Rattus norvegicus: one gene and its partners. The protein of the gene in region 3 purifies or fractionates together with the protein of the main gene of each other region. This does not show direct contact. Links are inferred from orthologs where the notes say so. Each region holds a gene or a part of one and is shown on either strand. Other genes may lie near its edges. The genes, in order: Ankrd54, Blnk and Btk.

Evidence for each region.
Region 1: the proteins of Btk (region 3) and Ankrd54 purify together in Homo sapiens (affinity purification with mass spectrometry; 4 studies listed by BioGRID and IntAct, counting the BioPlex papers as one, with this or other methods). This does not show direct contact. The link is inferred for Rattus norvegicus from reciprocal best matches to the Homo sapiens genes BTK and ANKRD54.
Region 2: the proteins of Btk (region 3) and Blnk purify together in Homo sapiens (affinity purification with western blotting; 5 studies listed by BioGRID and IntAct, with this or other methods). This does not show direct contact. The link is inferred for Rattus norvegicus from reciprocal best matches to the Homo sapiens genes BTK and BLNK.

What each region holds. Positions count from the first base shown.
Region 1 is NC_086025.1:112,496,591-112,503,183, reverse strand, and holds the end of Ankrd54 (ankyrin repeat domain-containing protein 54), read left to right. Parts: intron 1-680; coding exon 681-779; intron 780-2,832; coding exon 2,833-2,904; intron 2,905-3,365; coding exon 3,366-3,413; intron 3,414-3,493; coding exon 3,494-3,618; intron 3,619-4,448; coding exon 4,449-4,556; intron 4,557-4,969; coding exon 4,970-5,044; 3' UTR 5,045-5,987; downstream 5,988-6,593. UniProt on the Homo sapiens protein: Plays an important role in regulating intracellular signaling events associated with erythroid terminal differentiation.
Region 2 is NC_086019.1:249,767,035-249,773,727, reverse strand, and holds the start of Blnk (B-cell linker protein), read left to right. Parts: upstream 1-3,194; 5' UTR 3,195-3,301; coding exon 3,302-3,348; intron 3,349-6,693. UniProt on the Homo sapiens protein: Functions as a central linker protein, downstream of the B-cell receptor (BCR), bridging the SYK kinase to a multitude of signaling pathways and regulating biological outcomes of B-cell function and development.
Region 3 is NC_086039.1:102,051,762-102,058,454, reverse strand, and holds the start of Btk (tyrosine-protein kinase BTK), read left to right. Parts: upstream 1-3,311; 5' UTR 3,312-3,441; intron 3,442-3,514; exon of another isoform or gene 3,515-3,758; intron 3,759-6,693. UniProt on the Homo sapiens protein: Non-receptor tyrosine kinase indispensable for B lymphocyte development, differentiation and signaling. Binding of antigen to the B-cell antigen receptor (BCR) triggers signaling that ultimately leads to B-cell activation.

The DNA of each region.
Region 1 (6,593 bases), on a different chromosome or scaffold from region 3:
CTTTACAGGGCCTGGCGCTGTCAGGGATGGAATACCACATCTATTATCCCATCACAGCAGCGCTGCTGATAGGCAAGGCAGAGACGCCCTGGTTTTCTGGTGGCTGCTTTGCAAGTCCAGGCCTTCATGCCTGTTCTCAGCCCAACCCTGCCACTGCCTCACATTGGGGGCTGTTCAGTTCTTCCTTGCTTAGCTTCGCCTGGGATTTTGTATGTCCCTGGGGCTTGTACTCTCTCCTCTTCAAAGAGCGGCTGCTTCTCCTCCTCTTTCAAAGTGCTACTTCTTGAGAACCAAGTAAATACCAGCTAGCAGCTTGGGCAGCTGTGTCTAGCTGGAATGCATATATATCTATGCAGAGACACAGAGATGGGACCACAGCCTATACCAGAATTTCTGTGACTCTTCAGTCCTACCATGGGGATAGAGAGTCCCTTCTGACATCCTATCCTCTCCCTAGAAACATAGCTTAAACACAGAATCCATGGCCATTGCAATAAGAGAGTTCCTCACAGGGCTAGAAGTCTCTAGAGGGCCAGCATCCAGGAGGGACCAACTTTCCTGTGAACTACGGATGGCTCATCTGGAGGGGCCCTCGAGTATCGTCCATCCCTTGGGACTGCAGCATAGCTAACACGCCTGCTCTGTCACCCTTCTCCTCCCTCCCCCATCGTGGTTGTCAGTGCAGCAGCTTCTGGAAGATGGTGCGGATCCCTGCGCAGCTGATGACAAAGGCCGAACAGCCCTCCATTTTGCTTCCTGCAATGGCAATGACCAGATTGGTGAGTTCTGGAGCAACAGGAGCTGGTCAAAGGCAGCAACAGTTTCTAAGCAGTGGGGAAGGAATTGCTGTCTGCATGCCTCAGGGCACCCGGGGTTTGGAATAAGGAGGGCTTGTGAAGGGAATCCTCAGTGCTAGGATTACAGATGTGTCCCACCGTGGCAGGCTTGGCAAGTAGTCATTTAATAAACAGAGGGCCTTGCTGAATGAACACAGTGTGTGTGTGTGTGTGTGTGTGTGTGTGTGTGTGTGTGTGTGTGTGTGTTTGTATTTGTATGTTTGAAATGGGGTCTCATGTAGTCCAGGCTATCAGACTTCCTGTATTGCTTAGAATAACTAATCCCCCTGCCTCTGCCTCCAGAATGCTAGGAGTCCACAAACCTGGGCCATCCATTTTTTCTTTCTTTTTGTGGTTCTGGAGATTGAACCCAGGGGCTTCAGTCATGTTAGCAAGTGCTCTGCCACTAAGCTACATCCCTGGCCCTCTTAGGGTTTGCACTGCTGTGAAGAGACACCATGACCAAGGCAACTCTTACAAAGGACATAAAACTTGGGGCTGGCTTAGAGATTCAGTCCATTATCATCATGACAGGAAACCTGGCAGTGTCCAGGCAGGCATGGGGCAGGCAGAGCTGAGAGTTCTGCATCCTGTTCTGAAAGCAGCTAGAAGACTGACTTATAGGCAACTAGGAGGAGGGTCTCAAAGCCCATCCCCTAGATGACACACTTTCTCCAACAAGGCCACACCTCCTAACAGTGCCACTCCATGGGCCAAGCAAATATACCACACTAGCCCTCTTTTGGTTTGGTTTGGTTTGGTTTTTCAAGACCGGGTTTCTCTGTGTACCTGGCTGTCCTGAAACTCACTCTGTAGACCAGGCTGGCCTTGAAATCAGGGATCTGCCTGCCTCTACCTACTGAGTGCTGGTATTAAAGCTGTGTGCCACCACCACCCAGCTTTCCTTTTTATTTTAAGAAAGAATCTAAGTAAGTTGCCCAAACTGGCCTTGAGTTCATGCTACAACCCTGGTAGGCCTTGAACTTGAAACCTTCTAGCCTCAGACCCCTGAAGAGCTAGAATCACAAACCTGAGCCACCAGGCCCAGATATGTCTCCGTGCTGCCCCTTTCCTATGGTTAGTGGGTTTTTTCTGTGTATGACTCTTTACAAATCTTTGCCTACCCCACAAAGATAGCCTCCTATTTCCTTCTAGAAAGGTGACTGTTACAATTAATCTATGATCAGTCCCTCTGGAATTAGCTTGTGTTCTTTTGTGAAACTTAGCCTGGCCTCCCTGTACAATGTTGGTTGTTAACCAGGGTGATTCTAGCTGGTGACTGGCAAGCTCTGTCACCATGAGGCAGCCTAAGGCTGCTAAAGAAGGAAGATAGTTCCCAGAGTGCAGCATCGTCTATTGTCGCCTAGACACTGCAGGGGAATAGGAAATACATTTAGGAGACCTCTCCTCAGTCAGATAGGACTGAGAGGCCAAGAGACCCTCCTAGAGTCCTTGGTTCCTGACCCTTGGGTCCTGCACCCTGTAGATCAAGTAAGTTATTTAATGCACGCCACAACATGGGGAGCCATGTCTGGATTCTGCATTCCACTGAAGTAGAGATTGCTGGTTTCTTTGAAGACAGAAAGGCATAGTCAGCAATGAGACCAACCTCTGACTCCTAACCTCTGACCTCTGATGTCCCAGTTACTACTGAACACCCTGATCTCATCTGCAAACTTAGGGACATCTACAAGTGTGTTCCTACAGATACAGGTTGGCAAAGTGACTGCTCTGAGCCCCAAATAAAAGGACATGACGGTCTTCAGCCTGGTATTTGTTATAGGTGGCCCTGTCGTTGGAAGTGATAAGATGAGGTCTATCCCTGAGGAGTGGGGTCATCCAAGGCCTATATGGCTAGGTGACACTAGTGGCAGGACAGGGAGAGACCAGACGGTTTCTACTTTTCTCCACACTCCAAACAGACCTCTGCTGGCTCTGGGTGAGGATTAGTTGGAGGAAACCTCTAACAGTATATTGTGGTGTTTTCTGTCTTCAGTGCAGCTTCTCCTGGACCATGGGGCCGACCCCAACCAACAGGATGGTCTGGGCAACACCCCATTGCACCTGGGTAAGTCCACCACAAGCTAGACTTCTAGCATGTAAAGCTTAGGTTTCAGGAGGCTCCCAGCAGGATCCCCTAGCATTCTGGCAGGGCCTGCACCACAAGTATGCACTTCCCACAGCCTCTGTCCCACGGACCATCCATTCCCAGGAGACTGTGCACCTGGCAGGACTGCTGTGCACCCTGGACTGGCTGCACACAGCTCTGCTAGGAAGTGGGTTGTGAGCCCTTTGGCTGCCCCAGCCTTGCTGTTGATTCACCCCAACAATTACAGTGAGTCTCAGCTCCATGCCTCAGTTTCCCCAGCTAAACAGGGTAAACTGGACTTGATCTAAGCCCTACTCAATAGGGCATACTGCCCTGGCGACACTGTCTCAGGAGGTAACACAGCACAGCCACACTCAGGACTCAGCTTTTCTTCCCTTGATCCCCACAGTCCTGGTTCTTACATCACTTTTCTTTCACAGCGGCCTGCACCAACCATGTTCCTGTCATCACCACACTGCTTCGAGGAGGTATGTGGGGGACCCCTTCCCAGTCTCCTGCCCTTTTCTCCATCTCCTCCCCAGCATGCTTCCTCTGCCTATCCCCACAGGGGCCCGTGTAGATGCCCTAGACAGAGCTGGCCGCACGCCCCTACACCTGGCCAAGTCGAAACTGAACATCCTGCAGGAGGGTCATTCTCAGTGCCTGGAAGCCGTCCGCCTAGAGGTGAAGCAGGTGAGTGAGTCCTCCTCGGATGGGTACCATGCTTACCAGACTGCCTGCCTCTGGCCTAGGGCTCCTGATCTTACCAACCCCAACATCCCTTCTCTGTTATGTATAGTAGTGAGTTAGTTAAACCACTTTGACTCCCAGGGGGGATCAGTCTCATGATACACCCACCCAAGAACTCTCTGCATTTGCAAATACAGACACACACACACACACACACACACACACACACACACACACGCACACACCAGCTAATTTGGATATGCCTTGACTAGCTCAATGGGTGGGCATTTCTAATCTTCCCCACAAACACTTTCTTTTTTTGGGGGGGGGGGTTCTTTTTTTTGGAGCTGGGGACCGAACCCAGGGCCTTGCGCCTCCTAGGTAAACGCTCTACCACTGAGCTAAATCCCCAGCCCCCCACCAACACTTTCTAAATCTGTTTTATCTTTGCTGCCCCATTACCTTCTGGCCAGCCCCCCCTATAGGGGCATTTTCCCTTTCCACCTACATTGCTGGATGAATTTTCTACTGTAGCTCTTAGATCTAATCCTTCTCCCTCCAGGTCATGGTGATTCTCCTCCTCCTTCCCTCTCTCTGGATCCCTTGGCCATGCAGCAGTCTAAAAGTCCCTCCCTGTCTCCCTGCCCAGCCATTGGCTGCATGGCAAATCTTTACTATCAATCTAAGCCAGCTGGGGCAGGGACCCTCAGTGGAAGCTTGGCTGTCAGGAGATGAAATAGACAAAGCGTTAGAACCAACTCCCAGTGCTTATGTTAATAGTAGCAACTTGCCTGTGCCTGCCTCCTAGCCTGTGACTTCCTATCTCCTTCCAGATCATCCACATGCTACGGGAGTACCTGGAGCGCTTGGGGCGACATGAACAGCGTGAACGGCTAGATGACCTCTGTACCCGCCTCCAGATGACAAGTACCAAAGAACAGGTGAGCTTCAGCCACAGGACCAAGCAATAGCCTCAGCCAGTCCAGCTCTGCTCCAATGCAGCCAGACCCATGTATCAAAAAAAGATGGGACCTAGGGTATTGCTACTACCATAGCCCCTCACAGCCTCTGTCTATGTCCTTGAAGCTGAAGTGGCTGGTGTGTGCTCAGGTCTGCTCTTGGGGGCAGTACCAGACCACGTGATGTCTAGGATGAACCCATAGTCAGAGAGAAAGGGTGACAGGGCCCTTCACTGGTCAGGGACTCTGCTGAGCACAACACAAAGGTCTCAAACCCCCATCCTGCTCATTGAAATACCATGGAGGGGAAGCATTTGCATGCCCTGAAGAGTGGCAGTGCCCATGTTCAGTGCCCATTGTGATACCCCTGGTTCAACCTGACTGTCTCCCTGCAGGTGGATGAAGTGACGGACCTCTTGGCCAGCTTCACCTCCCTCAGTCTGCAGATGCAGAGTATGGAGAAGAGGTAGCAAGGAAGGCTGCTTCTTGCTTTACCGCCGCACTCCTGCCCTCTGCACATGCTACAGGGAAAGCCCAAGGGATCTGGAGTTCCACTTTGCCCTTGCCCTGAGATGCTGAGGACAGAACTGACAATGTGCAACATCTCCCTGGGTCAGGACCACAGCCCCTGCTCCTGCTGCATAATACCAGCTCTGTAGCCACACTCCAGGCCCACACGTGCTGTCCTAGCAGACACCACTCCTCCTGTGGCCTCCCTGTCCCTCAGCCCACCTCAGAGCCCTCTCTCTTCCCAGCCGTGGATTTCCATTACCTCCACCTGGCTTTGGGTAGGCCGCTCTGAGGCCACCAGGGCTGCTCTGTTCTCTAAGCTCGCCCTGCTCCTTACACCAGCACTTCAGTTTAGCCCTGCTCCTGACTTTCAAGGAAACACTGCACTGTGGGGTGTCTCTGAGCAGAAGAGGGACATTGCTCAAGCTTAGGCCTTCATAAGATTAGGAAGGACCCTTTTTAGCCCAAAGAAAGATCTGTAACACCTTCTCTCCCAGTCACTGGAACACTACACATGGGAGTCCATTTCACAGCCTACTTATCAGTGGTTGATAGTGGGTCATGGGCCCAGGTCCTTATCCCAGGATCCTCTAGGCCTTGGGTGTTTTGATAAGAGGCTATACAGATATATAACTAGAGGTCTTTAGTGGGGAGAAGATTCTGGATCACCTAGGTGGACTGGATATCACCCCAGGTAGCCCTGGGGAGGAGGCCGGAGGTGACCTATGCCATGTGGACGTGAGTCATGGAGGAAGAAGCCAGGAGCTGGCTAAGGACAGCCAGTGGGTCCCTCGGAGCCTCCAGCAGGGACTGGCTCTGCTGACAACTGCACCAGACAGAGCTCAGCTGGACATGTTTTTGTTTCTGGCCTCCAGAATTGTGAAAAGAAGTCTGTTGGTTGAACTGGTGGTTGTTTTTTGGTTCATTTTTGGTTTTGGTTTGTGGTGGCTTCTTGTGGCACTAGGAACTGAGGAAGTAGTGGGGCCAGATTCATTGCAGAGGTCTCAAGTCTATTGAACCTGTCTGGCCTATGAAGGAGACATTCCTGGGCTGGGGGGAGGGGGGGACGGGGGGGACACATCCTCACCTAGGAGGTCCTCCTTCCAGACAGGGATTTGGCCAATGGCTTCTAGGCTCCCAGCCCATGTCCAGCCTGGCACTGCCCCACTTTCTCTCCAAGCTGGAAGCCCTGGCTACTAGCCAAGGAGGGCCTTTCTTCAAATCCCAGCTTGGTATTGAGCTGAAACTCAGCCACTCCCCAGACCCTGAGGAAGAACTGGATAGAATTTCTACCCCCAGCTCCTTGTGAGAGAAAACCCAAAATCTATGTCGGTAGGGTTGGGAGGGCAAAGTGCTTCAGTGGCCTCAAGATGGGGAGGGGCAGCTGCTGTCCCTGCTGAGTGACAAGAGGGAGGGGCTGGGTGTATGATGCAGACTTTCTCCTCTGCCTGAGTGACCAACTCTGCAGGTGACCCTGACTTCTTGGGGCCTAGGGGCTCACTTGATCTT
Region 2 (6,693 bases), on a different chromosome or scaffold from region 3:
ATACATGTATGTGTACGCGCGCGCGCGCGCACACACACACACACACACACACACACACACACACACACAATTATATAAGTTCAACTTGCTGAGTCTGTTTGCGTTCCCCATGTGTAAATGATTTCAGTACTGACTACTTTGTATTGGATTACCCAATTGAGAGGCTTGCCCTTAGGAATGGCTAACTTCCTTCTGTCAGAAGTCATTAGTCACCTACAGAACTCCATGAGCTTTTTCCCCTTTCTGCACCTAGAATTTTTATTGGTATTTCCACTGTATGGCTGTGTTTAGACAGTCATTTCTAGGAGGCATGGGTTACATGTTACTTCTGTGTGTGCTCACGTGTTTCCGCTGCCGACACCTGGAGGTCAGAGGCGACTCGTAGGAGTTCTTTTTATTGTGTAGGACCTGGAAAAACTCAGGAGTCAGACTTGTGGCACATGTTCTTACCCACTCAGCCATCTTGTAGGCTCGTACGTTCAATTCTTCAGTTTGCCTTTATTGCATAAATCGTATTTTTAAAAACTGGGGCTGGAGAGGTGGCTCAGTGGTTAAGAGCATTTGTGTTCTTCCAGAGGACCGGGGTTGGATTCTCAGCAACCACATGGAGGCTCACAACTGTCTGTACCTTAAGTTCCAGAGAATTTAATGCTTTCTGCCCGCCCCCACCCGCTCCCCGCAGAAGTGTTCCAGGAGGTGTGTAGACGTCCATACAGGCAAAGCACTAATCTGCATAAAGTAGTAATAAAATACATTTAAAGAGAAGAATGCTATCTTTGCTATTTATTCGTGGGTGTATAACTGGAGCTCACTGGTTTTCCACTGTTAAATAGTATTTGTTTATGTAAATGTGGCACAAACCACTCATTATTGTCCTGTTAATGGGCAACTGGGCCGTTTCCAGGACTGGGTTTTTGTTTTTCCTGTTAGAAACAGGAAAGGAAGCTCACGTTCAGTGGTGCAGCACTTGCATGGCCTGCACAAGGCCATAAAGGAGGTGGTGTTTCACTGAGCACTCTTGCATGTGACCTCGGTGTATCAACGCAGAAATGCCTTACAGACCCATGACCTACCCCCTGCTCACAAATATGTACACCATTTAGCACTAAACTCTTTCCGATGTGATTGTGCTTTGTGGCTCTCTCAGTGGTGTATAAGAATCCCAGTTGGTAAAAGGCTGTGACTGGGCATCTGTCCTGTTAATTTGTCAATTCAGTCATCTCTGTACCTGCTGTCACAGACTGGGCCTGGCCGCTCTTCAAGGCCTAGGCTTCGGGGTCACCCAGTGTAGTCTCACTCCATTAATAAGTCTGTAGCTGAGATTTGGCTCCCATTCATGCTCAGTCCTTCCTGACAAGCCATGGTGGCTGGAAAGTCACTGGGTCAGGCTTGGATTGCTGGGCTGTGACCCTCCACACAGAGGGCAGAACTACACACACCGGCCTGGAAAAGCAGTTTCTCATTTTCATCGTGTCAGTCTGAATACAGTAAAAAGAAGAAAGACAAATGGCTGTAAAAAGAAAAAGCAGAAGTGTAACCCTCACCCCTCTCTCTTTCTCTGGGGAAAAAAAGAAGTTGCCAGACCAGGTGCTAAGCAGAGTTGGTGGAGAGGAAAGTCAGTGGGTCAATTGGGAGCACTTTACAATAATTCAGAGGGAACAAAAGGCTATTATCAACCCATTGGCCGGACTTTCCTGACCCTTGATGACATCAAACATGTTTTTCCTCGTATTCCTTTCGGTTAAGAACCGTGGGAGGGGCAGGGCAGGGAACTGATCTCCTTCAGGATATATTGCAAGAAAACTGAACTGCCTGACTAGAGAAAGCCAACAGCTAGCTACAGGAAGCAAGCGTTTGCATTTTTCTCATGATGACCTACTCTCCTGCAGAAGGACCTCACTCTTCACCCGCTCTAAAGCTTCAGCTCTCGGACGTCCTGAAGAATGGGAAATTCAGATATAGAGCAGGAATGAGAACAGTCAAGGATTCGGAAAGATAGAAGGACTTCTGTTTGAACAAAGAACCCAGGGGAGAAGAAATCCACTTTTGCTCTCCATCTCCTGTCCTCCCTTCTCTGCCTGGTCCGCCTTCCCACTTTCTCTTCAGCCAGGCCTTGTAGCTATAACATGAGAGATAACCAAAGTCCCTCTACTTTGTTCCCCCAACTCCCATGCATTCTTTAGACCCAGGTCAATGGTCCTTTGATAAAGTTTGGAACATAATCTCCTTTCACAAAGGTGACCAGGACATGCCAGGTGACAGGAGTTGGGGTGGGGGTGTTCGGGTAAAAAGGGGAGAAAGAACACCCCGCTCTCATTTTTTAAAAAAATTCTTAGCCCTAGACTGCTTTCTGCTCTTTAACTCAGCTAAATCAGAAGCTTGCAGAGTAGACAGAGGAATTGGGGGTTCTTGAGGAGGGCAGCAGAGCTGTCTGGATGGGGTCAGCGGCAGGTGTGGGATGCATGATGTTCGGTCTGATGAGAGGCCACAGACGCCGAGGGGAGTTAGGAGGTATCTTCCTGATGTCATGTGCTTGGAAATTGCTGGGTTTGCTCTCAGCTGACTTCTGAGTATATCTTGGCTTTATTTAAGAATGTCAAGCTTTTGACGAGGCAACTCCTGACTCCACATAGCGTAGGATGGAGTCACCTATCTCTACCCCTGAGTGACCTTGACCTCGCACAAAGAATTACCCATCACAGTTTAAATGACCACTGCTGTGACCTTGGCTCCAAGAGCTGTCCAATTCGTGTCTCTGTTATCTAAGAAGAAAAGGCTTCTTCACGGCTTTATGCAAATGAGCAGAAAGCCCCCAACAGTCATCCAGATATCATCGATTATTCAGCTTTTCCTGGTACCTGAGAAGTGGCAGGATGACTCTGGCCATCTGCTGAAAACAGGGACTACCTAAGGTTTGGGACAAACAGGAAGTCGTGCTCAGTCAACCAGAAGCTTATTCCAACCTGGCAACAAACCTGATCATAAAAGAGAGCTGCTGAAAAGGGATTTGCATGCCCAATAAGGTTTCACTACTGAAGTTTACACAACGCACAGTAATCATCCAGGCTGGCTGACTCGCTGGATCACATGACCTCGTAGAAACACGAAACTTGGCGATGTGCTCCAGCGAGTTTTACTTCCCCTGTGTAGGGGTGTTTGCCAGCAGCCTGCGGTTGCTCTCAGAAGTCAGTTCCAGTGGCATGAGCCCTTGAGGCCAGAGTCTTACCATGCTGCTCCCCAGGAAGCCCAGGAGCTGCTGACATCCCTCTGGACAGCGACTCCACAGCCCCTCTCAAGAAAAATGGACAAACTGAATAAAATAACTGTCCCTGCCAGTCAGAAGCTGAGGTAAGAGTTTCCCTTTGGATCTGTATTCCTCTTCTCTCCCCTTTAGTGCTCCTCCAAGGGCTCAGAGGTACCAAAACCATGGAATACTTGACCAGTTCCGAGGAATTGGTTGGCAGTGGCGATAGGGAAGTAGGTCAGGTTTTTAAAGAAATGTGTAGGAAGAGTGAAGGGACCTGCTTTGGCTGGGTTTTTGCCAGCGATAGGACAAAGGGTGAAGCTCTGGAAAGGCAAGAAGATAGAAAATTTGATGGCACACATGCTACCCACAGTCAGCTTTCTGGGTCTGAATAAGATGCTGCTGGGGGAAGGGCTTGTGCACTGCGTGAAGAGCATGTGTGGTCACTGTCAGTCACTGTCTCTTGTTTGTTTTGTGGATGTTCATCCTAAGTTTACTGGGGGAACCACAGGCCTTTCTAAAACCCTCATGACTATCTATTTTAAAAAGTGCTTAAGGGCCAGTCCACTAGCTCATTGGACAAAGTGCTGATCATGCGGGCCTGGTGACTTAAGGTCTATGCCCACAGCCCAGATAAAAATGGAAAGAGAGAAGCAACTCCACAAGGCTGGCCTTTGACTCCATACTCACTGCCTGGCACGCGCATTCCCTGACTGGTCATGCCCACACACATTTCACACATGCACATATACTAATGATAACAACAATCATTTTAAAGGCAGCGTTGGCAATTAAAATATACATATATGCTAACAAGAATAAGCCAGCAGTGGCCTAAGTCACAAGTCAAGAGACCATGCAAAGACGACTTCCCAATTTTTGAGTTTGGAGAACTTTGTCTTTTGGAGTGGTGCTGATGATGACTTTCTGAGGCCAGAACTCAAAATGTTTAAGGACGTGTTATATTCCGTGTGCAGACTGGAACTTTGGACTTTCATGAGGTCATACTTAGGAGCTGGAGAACTGGAGATTCTGAGACAAATGACAAGAAAAGAATATAGAGTTGGTAGAAGGACAGTCTTCCACAGCAGCATGTGGGTCTTCTCACTCTAAGGGGTTTGGTAAGAGGCAGACTGAGATGTACTAAGGGGTCCAGATCAGAGGGCAGCATCGGCTGGTCAGCCATTTTATAGAGCATGCCCAGGAGAGCCACAGAGTCCTTAACATGGAAGTCAGAAGGTCCCACAGGCACCCTACGTCTTTTGCTGGGCATCTCATGGAGGGGAGGGGTGGAGAGGAAACAGTGGAAATAATAAGTTGCAGAGAAGTTTTCATGAAGACGATGCTTTAAGAGTTAAGCTTTTGAGAGGCAGCTGAGAAAAAGCAGACGGAGAACTGGGGGGACAGGTTACACGCTGAGGAGGCTGCAAGCTCACATGCACAATCTGATGTAAGCGCAGTCTCAAATGTGCGCTAGCGAGGAAAGTTCTGCCCAGCAGAGGCCATGGAGTGGAACGTATAGGGTGAGAGGGCCCTGGGACATTGGTCCTGTCTGGTGGGGCCAGCTGAAAAGAATGAGGTGGGTGGTGTCTAACCATACAGAGTTGGGCAGTGTTTGTGCTGTTAGAGAGAGAACTGGCATGGTTAAACTGAAGGCACGAGTTCTGGGGGTGCTGGGAATGTTAGGATCCCAAGCGTCTAGAGTTAGGGGCACAGCAGTGAGGAGGGACATGCAGGGAGCGGTCAGATGTGGCAGAGAACTGACAAGGTCTCGTGCAGGGGCTGCTCTGAGCAGAGGTCCCAACGGTCCCTAACCTAAAGCCGCCCAGAGCCTCAGAAGGTGCTCCAGGGAACCTAGATGAGAGTCAAAACAAAGAGAGCAATAGAATTTTAATCACCTTAGGATCCCTCCCCCATGGGACAAAGTCCAGTCTAATCATGGAGTGGGTGGTGGGCATTATGTAATCATATTATAGGCTAGACGGCCAAAATTATATTGCAGATAATCACATGCTACGCCCATCTGCTGAGAGCAAAGCAACGTTTTCCTGCACTTGGTTACTGAGTTGTCTGCCCAGACTCAGCCCATTTTGATGAGATGTGCAGTCAGATTGCAAAGAAATGCGACTGTAAACGAAACAACTCAAAACACCACCCAAAATGTTTTCTGTAAATAGGTGACCTGGTGAGAAGTTAGCAGGGGGGCGGGGGAGGGTTGGGCAGCGTTTGTTCTGTTACAGAATGAACAGGACGGACTGCATAGGGGAAGCTGAAGGCACAGGTTCTGGGCGTGCAAGGAACTTAAGGATCCCAAGCATCTAGAGTTAAAGACACTGAAGTGAAAAGGGAGACTGTGTGCCCTCTCCTGACTGGTCAACAGCAGTTTAGAAGGTTGCCCAGAGAGTTACTTGGCTCCAGATTGCAATGTGGTGTTTGGAGTCTTTCAAACCCATCAAAGCCTATAGAGGAGTGTGATCAAAATGAAGCCAGGCAAACAGCAATGCTGTAATAAAGCCATACAGTGAGTATTCTAGTCACGAAAGGGGCTCAGTGGAATGACCCAGACCCAGGGGCTACATGTCCAGGTCTCGAGAGAGACTGGAAGCAGAGGGATGACCAGGAAGAGAAGCAGAGTGAACCAAGGAAGCAAACACAGGCAGGATTGTGTGTGTGTGTGTGTGTGTGTGTGTGTGTGTGTGTGTGTGTGTAGGAGATCCTCAGTGTGAGGATGGAAGTCTCCCAAGGCACCCCGGGAGGTACTCACTGACCGATGTTCCATGTACTGGAACTGAGGCAGTAGAGGTGGCCAGGAATGTACGGGGCCACGTCTTTGTCAACATATATTTCCAGACTTTCATTACTTTGTACTTAGCCATGATTTCCCTTTGAGTTTTAGAAGGTAGTGACATCATCACAAACTCATCAGAGACCCAGGTTCTCAGTTCTTCAACATCAAGCATCCCTAGGCGCGCACAAGTACCATGTTACTGAGTGAGCATTTGGGAATCTACAATCCTGAAGAGCCGTTCTCTTTGGGTTACTGTTACTAACTTGAAAATGAAATTTTACATTTTAAACAGCTTCCCCGATAATGGATCATTTGTACTTGGGTACTTCCCTCTGTAACACACACAAACACGAACCCATTTGTTTGTCAACATGGAAAATGTCTTTGACATAAGGCTGGTCAAGCCAGGCTTAAGTTTACTTCATTTTCTTGGCCCCAGTTTCTTCACCTGTAAGACCACAGAGGTTATAATAATAGCACCAATGTCATAAAGCTATTGTTGGAATTAAATCAATTGTCCCATGAAGCAACTGACATTATGACCCTGGTGCCATAATTACTGGGTATAAAAATTAATAGTTATTAATGTAGCCTTCATGATTGTTCTTATCAATTTCGTAGCTTGCAAATGACTTTCAGGACATAAGCAGAAGACTTTATG
Region 3 (6,693 bases):
ACCCCAGGCTGGCCTTAAACTCACCTATGTAGCTGAAGATGGCTGTGAATTTCTGATCCTTAACCCGAGTGATGGGGGCCCAGGTATATGCAGCTGTGCCTGGTTTGTGCCTGCCTCTTTGAATCCTGTCTATCTCTGGAGCTGCTCACTATTAATAGTATTTACCAAATGAGACTGAGGCACAGGAGGCTTAAATGCACTTCCCCAAAAGTCACACACACGGTTATTTCAAAGCTGGAATTCGATCTTAAGCCATTTAATACGATATACCTCTAGCCTTAGTCAATATTACACAGGGAAAGAGAGGCAGCTACAGGTAGACTAATGGGCTGGAATGAAGAAGGAGGCAGCAGTGGCCTAGGGAGGAGCTAATGGTAGGAGACCCTGAGGTATCCTGCTTGCACAGTGCTCCAGAAACAAGCTGGCACTTCGTTCACGCCCATTTTTGTTGGATGATCGTCTGGGGTTACAATAATAATAATGTCGTTGCCTGCTACATTTCTTTGATAACCCACCGGCTGATTTCCACCAGGATTTTCCTCTCTCTAGTCCCTTAACAAGTTTTCACTGGCCTTTAGGGACTTTCTAAAGTTTTTATTTGTTTTCTGTTTTCCATGTAAGTGGTTTGGAGATGGACAATTAAACCTCTTTGTCTAATCAAACTTGATTCTTTTTATCAATCCCCGTGTGGAGTAGTTGTGGGGGTATTTTAAAATATTTAATTGACAAAATTGCGTGTGTTTAAATATACACTCATCTTGTATAATAACTGCCACAGTCAAATTAACCCATTCATTATCATCAATAGTTACGTGTATGTGTGTGTGTGTGTGTGTGTGTGTGTGTGTGTGTGTGTGTGTGGTGGAGACACTTAAATCTGTTCTCTTATCCAACTTCAAGTAAGCAATCGAGTATAATACAGTCTCCACGTTGCACATTAAATCTCCAGAAGCTACTCATCTTGTAGTTCACGATTTGTTTAGCACTATTTTTCTGTTTTCGCTATGTCTGTGCTCGTTACTTTCCCCTAAGATGAAGCACCTAGAGCTGGAGACAGAACTCTAGTTAGGGTCTTAAGTTCTCAGTGCTTCAAGCCCAGAAGATACTCACTTTCCTACATATTTTACTTCTAGAAAAAAGGCTCAATGTCACCTTAACTTTTCTCTCAGCCATTTTTGTTTCAAACTTGCCATTTCTTTTAGTTGCTATCAGCAAAGCCCAGGTACCATTTTCTTTTTTTAAAGATGTATTTATTTTTTTTAATATGAGTACACTGTAACCGTCTTCAAACACACCACAGGAGGGCATCAGATCCTATTACAGATGGTTGTGAGTCACCATGAGGGTGCTGGGAATTGAACTCACAGGACCCCTGGGAGAGCAGCCAATGCTCTTAAGCACTGAGCCAATGCTCTCCAGCCCCCAAGTACCACTTAACAGGCATCACAGCCACCCACCCTACATCCTACCTGGAGATATTTGAATTTCAAAGTTGGAATCTAGTTGTGAGACATCACTCTTCACCTTGTAAAATACATTGTTGAGTTTGAACTCTTACACCAAATGATGCAGGTCTTTTTGAATATTAATTACCCTGATTCATCAAGTACACAACCTTTCACTATTTATACAATACATTAATTGGGCTACTTTTTCCCCAGGCTAGCCTTGAACTCATGAGCCTTCTGCCTCTGCCCTCTACAGCATGTCCTACTGGAGTGAACCACTACAACTGGCTGGGCTACTTTCTCTATCTTCCACACAGCTGTTTACTACAGCTGGCACCAAGATCAGAACCTACAGCATGAGTGTGGAGGTCAGGAGAACCGCTAATGAAAACCACTTCTCTCCTTCCATGGGAATTGGACATAAGTCATCAGGCTTGGCAGCAAGTGCTTTACCTGCTGACCCATCTCCATGGGGAACAATTTGAACTTACACTAGCTTATTTGTTCGCACTATGGTATGAGTGAGAGTGCTGGGTAAGTGGCTGTGGTCAAAGGTTCCTACCTTTATTCTGCCTTCTGCCTTTGCCTCCCTAATTTCCCACAATGCTGTTATTTAACTCCCAATTCCCACCCCAAATGGACCTTTAGAAATGATGGAGCATGTGACAAGAAGCATCTAACTGAGGACAAAGGAAGGTATGGTGAGTGTCTATGGTCACTCCATTGATGGCTGGCACAGTTACTGCATGTGACTAAGGAAAGGTCATAACTTGTCAATAAAGCTTGGACCATAAAGGGAGAGCCACATGAACTTGGTGCCCATTGATCTGTACCAGTGAAATGATTTACTGATCTGCCATTCTACAAATGCTTAGAAAAAATCCCAGCGCTTTCAGTTCTGACCCACTTTTGGGATCAGTAATATGTTCCTGTATTAGGGTGTAATATGAAAATGGCCGGTGAGAGAAGACAGACAAGATCAGTCACCAGGGCCTCTACCACCATCACTGGCAAATATCGGCTACATTTCTTTAGAGAATTCTCAGGGAGAAGAGGGAAGCTGGGACACAAACTCAGGACCCGCGGAGGGAACATTCGGACTTCAAAGATCACATCTAGTCTTGTTTACTAGTTGATGGAATCAAAGACAATATTGTACCTTGTTTATCTTGGAGGAAAAAAATGAAACAGAATCTCCTATGTTGTGCAGGCTTTGAACTGGTGATAGTCCTGCCCCTCCATCACCCCAGTAGCTTTAATTATATGTGCGTTTCATCATGGCTCATAAGGCTGCAATTTGAAGGTAGAATATTCAAAAGAACATTTGAAGAAATGGGGAAGGGCTTATATTCAGGCATCTTTATGTGCAGAAGAAAATTGCTTTCTTAGAAAATGACTCAGCAGGGAAGTCTTGTCTCTACCTCTGTCGGGCTTTGTATTTCAGGGTCTCTGAGTGAGACTTCTTTGTCCTACAAGTTGAATTGTGTGGTCCTGACTCTCCCCTACTGAGGCGACAGGAGACCTTAAAGACACTGGCACCTCTCTTCTTCCTGTACTGATCATCCCCCACAGTCCTTTAGGTATGTCATCCCTTTGCTCCAGGAAGGATAGTCTGATGACCTGTTTGCTCAGCCTAGCCCCATCATCTTAGGGGACTCAACCACTCCAGTAATGGGAAGAAAGTGTCTCTCAGAGCTGGGCTCTATGGGTGTAATGCGGGGAGGGGAGGGTTGGAGGGGAGCGGAATAGGGACGGCAGCTCGGAAGCAGATACCATATTGCTAAGAAGAAAAAAAAAGGCATTGGTTTAAGTCAGGAAACAAAAAAAGGGAACTGAGTGGCTGTGAAAGGGTGGGGTTTGCTCAGACTGTCCTTCCTCTCTGGACTGTAAGAATATGTCTCCAGGGCCAGTGTCTTCAGAGATCAAGTCCCACCTTCCAAGTCCTGGCATCTCACTACGTCTGGGAAGCTACCTGCATTAAGTGAGAACTGAGGTGGGTCTGGGGTGAGGCAGGGCTTGGGCAGCAGCCATATTTCCTTCTGTTGGAACCCTCGAAGGTCGGACAGGAAGCATGGCTGCTTCCATCTATCTACTGGTGGAGGAAGCTCATGGAGAGTGGGAGTGTCACAGCAGAAGGCCTGGTATTCCCTTCCAACACTGCAGGGAATATAAGGGTCTTTTGAAGACAGCGACTGTGATGGGGTGGTTATAGGAACAGGAAACCTGAGGTGTCCATCTGAAACGACAGCAAATGTTGGAGGGGAGCTCTGCAGCTCTCGGTGGGTAAGAGACTCCACAGGCAGCAGCCAGGTAAAAGCAAGTCGTTTTTACCAAACACAAAATGGATCCTTGTATCAATGAGAACCTTCGAAGAAGGAATTCCAGGAGGCTGCTTGGTCTGCAAAACCTAAAATAGCTCATGTGTCTCAAACGGCAGTGCTGAGGAAAGGTCTGTGCTACATAGGGTGGAAGCAACTTGTTTTGCCCTGCAACAGGCCAAATAGTACTAGGATAAGGGCTGGCTCATAGGAAGGATTGTGTGGAGGCTGTGGCAGCCTCGTGGTTAATAGTGGGTAGGAAACAGAGCCAGCGGAATGCAGCCTCTGCCTCAGCCAAGACAGTGTGGCCAACCCCTGAGGTCTCCGGAAAGGTTTTTCCTCTTACAGTTACCTACCATGTGCATGCTGTCTTTTCTCTTGGCTTCATTATCTTTCCTCTCGTCTCCTTTCTGCTCTCTCTCCTTCCTCTTCCTTTCCTGGCTAGTATCCCCTGATCCAGAATCAGCACTTAACAGCCTTTTTAAATAGCATCAAATTTGTCCTGCCCCTTTCTCCTCGGGGTCCTTTGTTTTTTTTTTTCTCCTACCCGCTCCCCATCTACCTGTTCCTTTGTTCTGGACCATTACTGCTAGCAGTTTAAGTGTAAATAAATGTAAAGTAGTTAAGGCCCCTGGCAAGAGTAAGTGCTGGATCTCAGCAGTCGTTACTAGTTTGGTTCTACCACAGTCCTGCCAGTCCCCAGTAGGGTTGGCCTAGGGGCAAATAGAGAGAAATGTTTGACTCTGCTTAGATCAAGCTGATGGTGACATTCTGAAACGAGCCTCCAGACATCCAAATGGAATCATATCCTCCTCAGTACCGAGCTCTCAAGATTGGAAGGTTTGACCCATGCCAAGTATTTCCAGGGACGGAGCAGCAGCTGTCCAGAGGCTGAGGTTGGGGTGGGTGTATGCAGCTCAAGGCCTATCCACCCATCCTCTCTGTTAGGTAAATGCCTTAGCTCTGTTCTTTCCCTCATTTTGTTACACTTCTGAAGCAAGGGCACTATTGCCTTTCTCAATTATTTGAAATGAGCCACAAAATGCAAATTCTCATGGAGACCTAAAGTATTACAGATACACGGTATCCCTTAAGCCTTGCCTTATCCATTGTAGACTATGTATTTATCTTTTTATGTGGAAGAAAGGTCTTGCCTACCTAGTCAAGGCTATGTAGCCCAGACTCGTCTCAAACTTGTGGTCCTTCTGGCTTACTCACCTGCATGCTGGGATTACATGAGGACGTTGCTGCATCCACCTGACCTCTATTTTATTTAGGCCGTTTAATCTATTCGCTTGTGCAAAAAAAAAAAAAAAAGATTCCTGTTGCTAATTGCTGTTGATGTTTTGTTTAGAATCTTTGCAAATGCCTATGGGGGAGAAATAGTGTAACTTTCTGTCTACTTGTAGGGTCTTGGTGCAGTTTAAACAGGCACTATGATTTGTTCTTTCCATCTGAGCAAATTTCCTATAAAGTATCTTGTCAGTGATCTGGAGCCATAGCAGGAAGTCACTTCGATATAAGGGGGAAGACATCTCTTCTGAAACCCAAAGTTTGGGCGTTCTCCAAACAGTCATATGTATCGGTTTCTCTACTTTTCCCTGAGCAGTGCTCAGATCTAATTGCTAACCTCTGAAGAGAAGGGACGGCTAGAATTCAGGGCACAACAGAACACAAGAAGAGCTGGAGGTGGTGGCACACACTTGTAATCGCAGCACTAACGAGGCTGAGGCAGGAGGTTTGCCTGGAGTTCCAGACCAACATGAACCACAGAGGAGGAGTGGGAGGGGGGGGAGGAGGAGGAGGAAGAGGAGGAAGAGGAGGAGGAGGAGGAGGAGGAGGAGGAGGAGGAGGAGGAGGAGGAGGAGGAGGAGGAGGAAGTAGTTGTTGTTATGGAGGAGACTGACTTTTTTTTTACTCCAAACCTGCTTGGTTATGCATGAAGTCATCAGGGGAGGGGGAGGGGACACACCTCTGAGGCGCCTGAAACAATTGGGCCACGTGTAACTTTCAGTTTGTTATGGAGGTTTATGTACAGTAATTGAGCATCATCTTAGAACTGTATAAACCTGGGGTGTCTAACCACAGGCATTCCTCCCCACTGCCCACTCTCTGAATGCCCTCTTCAAAGACGCCTCAAAATGCAAAAATTTCAGGTTATTTGAACCCTAGCTTTTCTCACTGCTGACCCTCACCAAAGTGAAAATAAAGCCTGACTCCAAAAAAGAAATTTAGAGAGTTATGAGCAATTGAGTTTTAGACAAATGGAGGATTAAAATAAACTCGTTTAGTGAAAAAGTTAGTGTAGAATAAAGCCAGAGTTTTTTTTTTTAATCACTGAAAGTGACATGAAAATGAAGTAAAGATGTAGAGGAAAAGAACTCAGTCTCTCAAAGCCTGCTATTAGGAGCAGAACTTGGTACACTATCTCTGGAGGCAGTTTGGCAATATGTAGAGAAATGCAAAATGCACACACAATTTTTCACATTTCTGTATATATATGCATATATATTGTGGTGTGTATATGTGTGTTTATGATATGTGTGTCTGTTTCTGTGTACATGGTGTGTGTGTGTGTGTGTGTGTGTGTGTGTGTGTGGTTTTTTTCATGGTGTAGATGTGTATATGTATCTGTGTGTATATATCAGTACCTGTATGGTGTGTGTGTGTGTCTGTATTTGGGTATGTGTGTGGGTATTTGTGTGTGTGTGTGTTTGTGTGTGTGTGTGTGTGTGTGTGTGGTGTGTCTGTATGGTGTGTACACATGCACAAGTATGTGCCGACGCCTTCAGAGAGTGTCAGAGTTACAGGATGCTGTAAGTGGCTTGATATGGATGCTGGGAACTGAACTCCAGTCCTTTGGATAAAGAGCAGGCACCCTTCTTACCTGCTGAGCCATCTCTCCAATTCCTCCTCCTCCTCCTCCT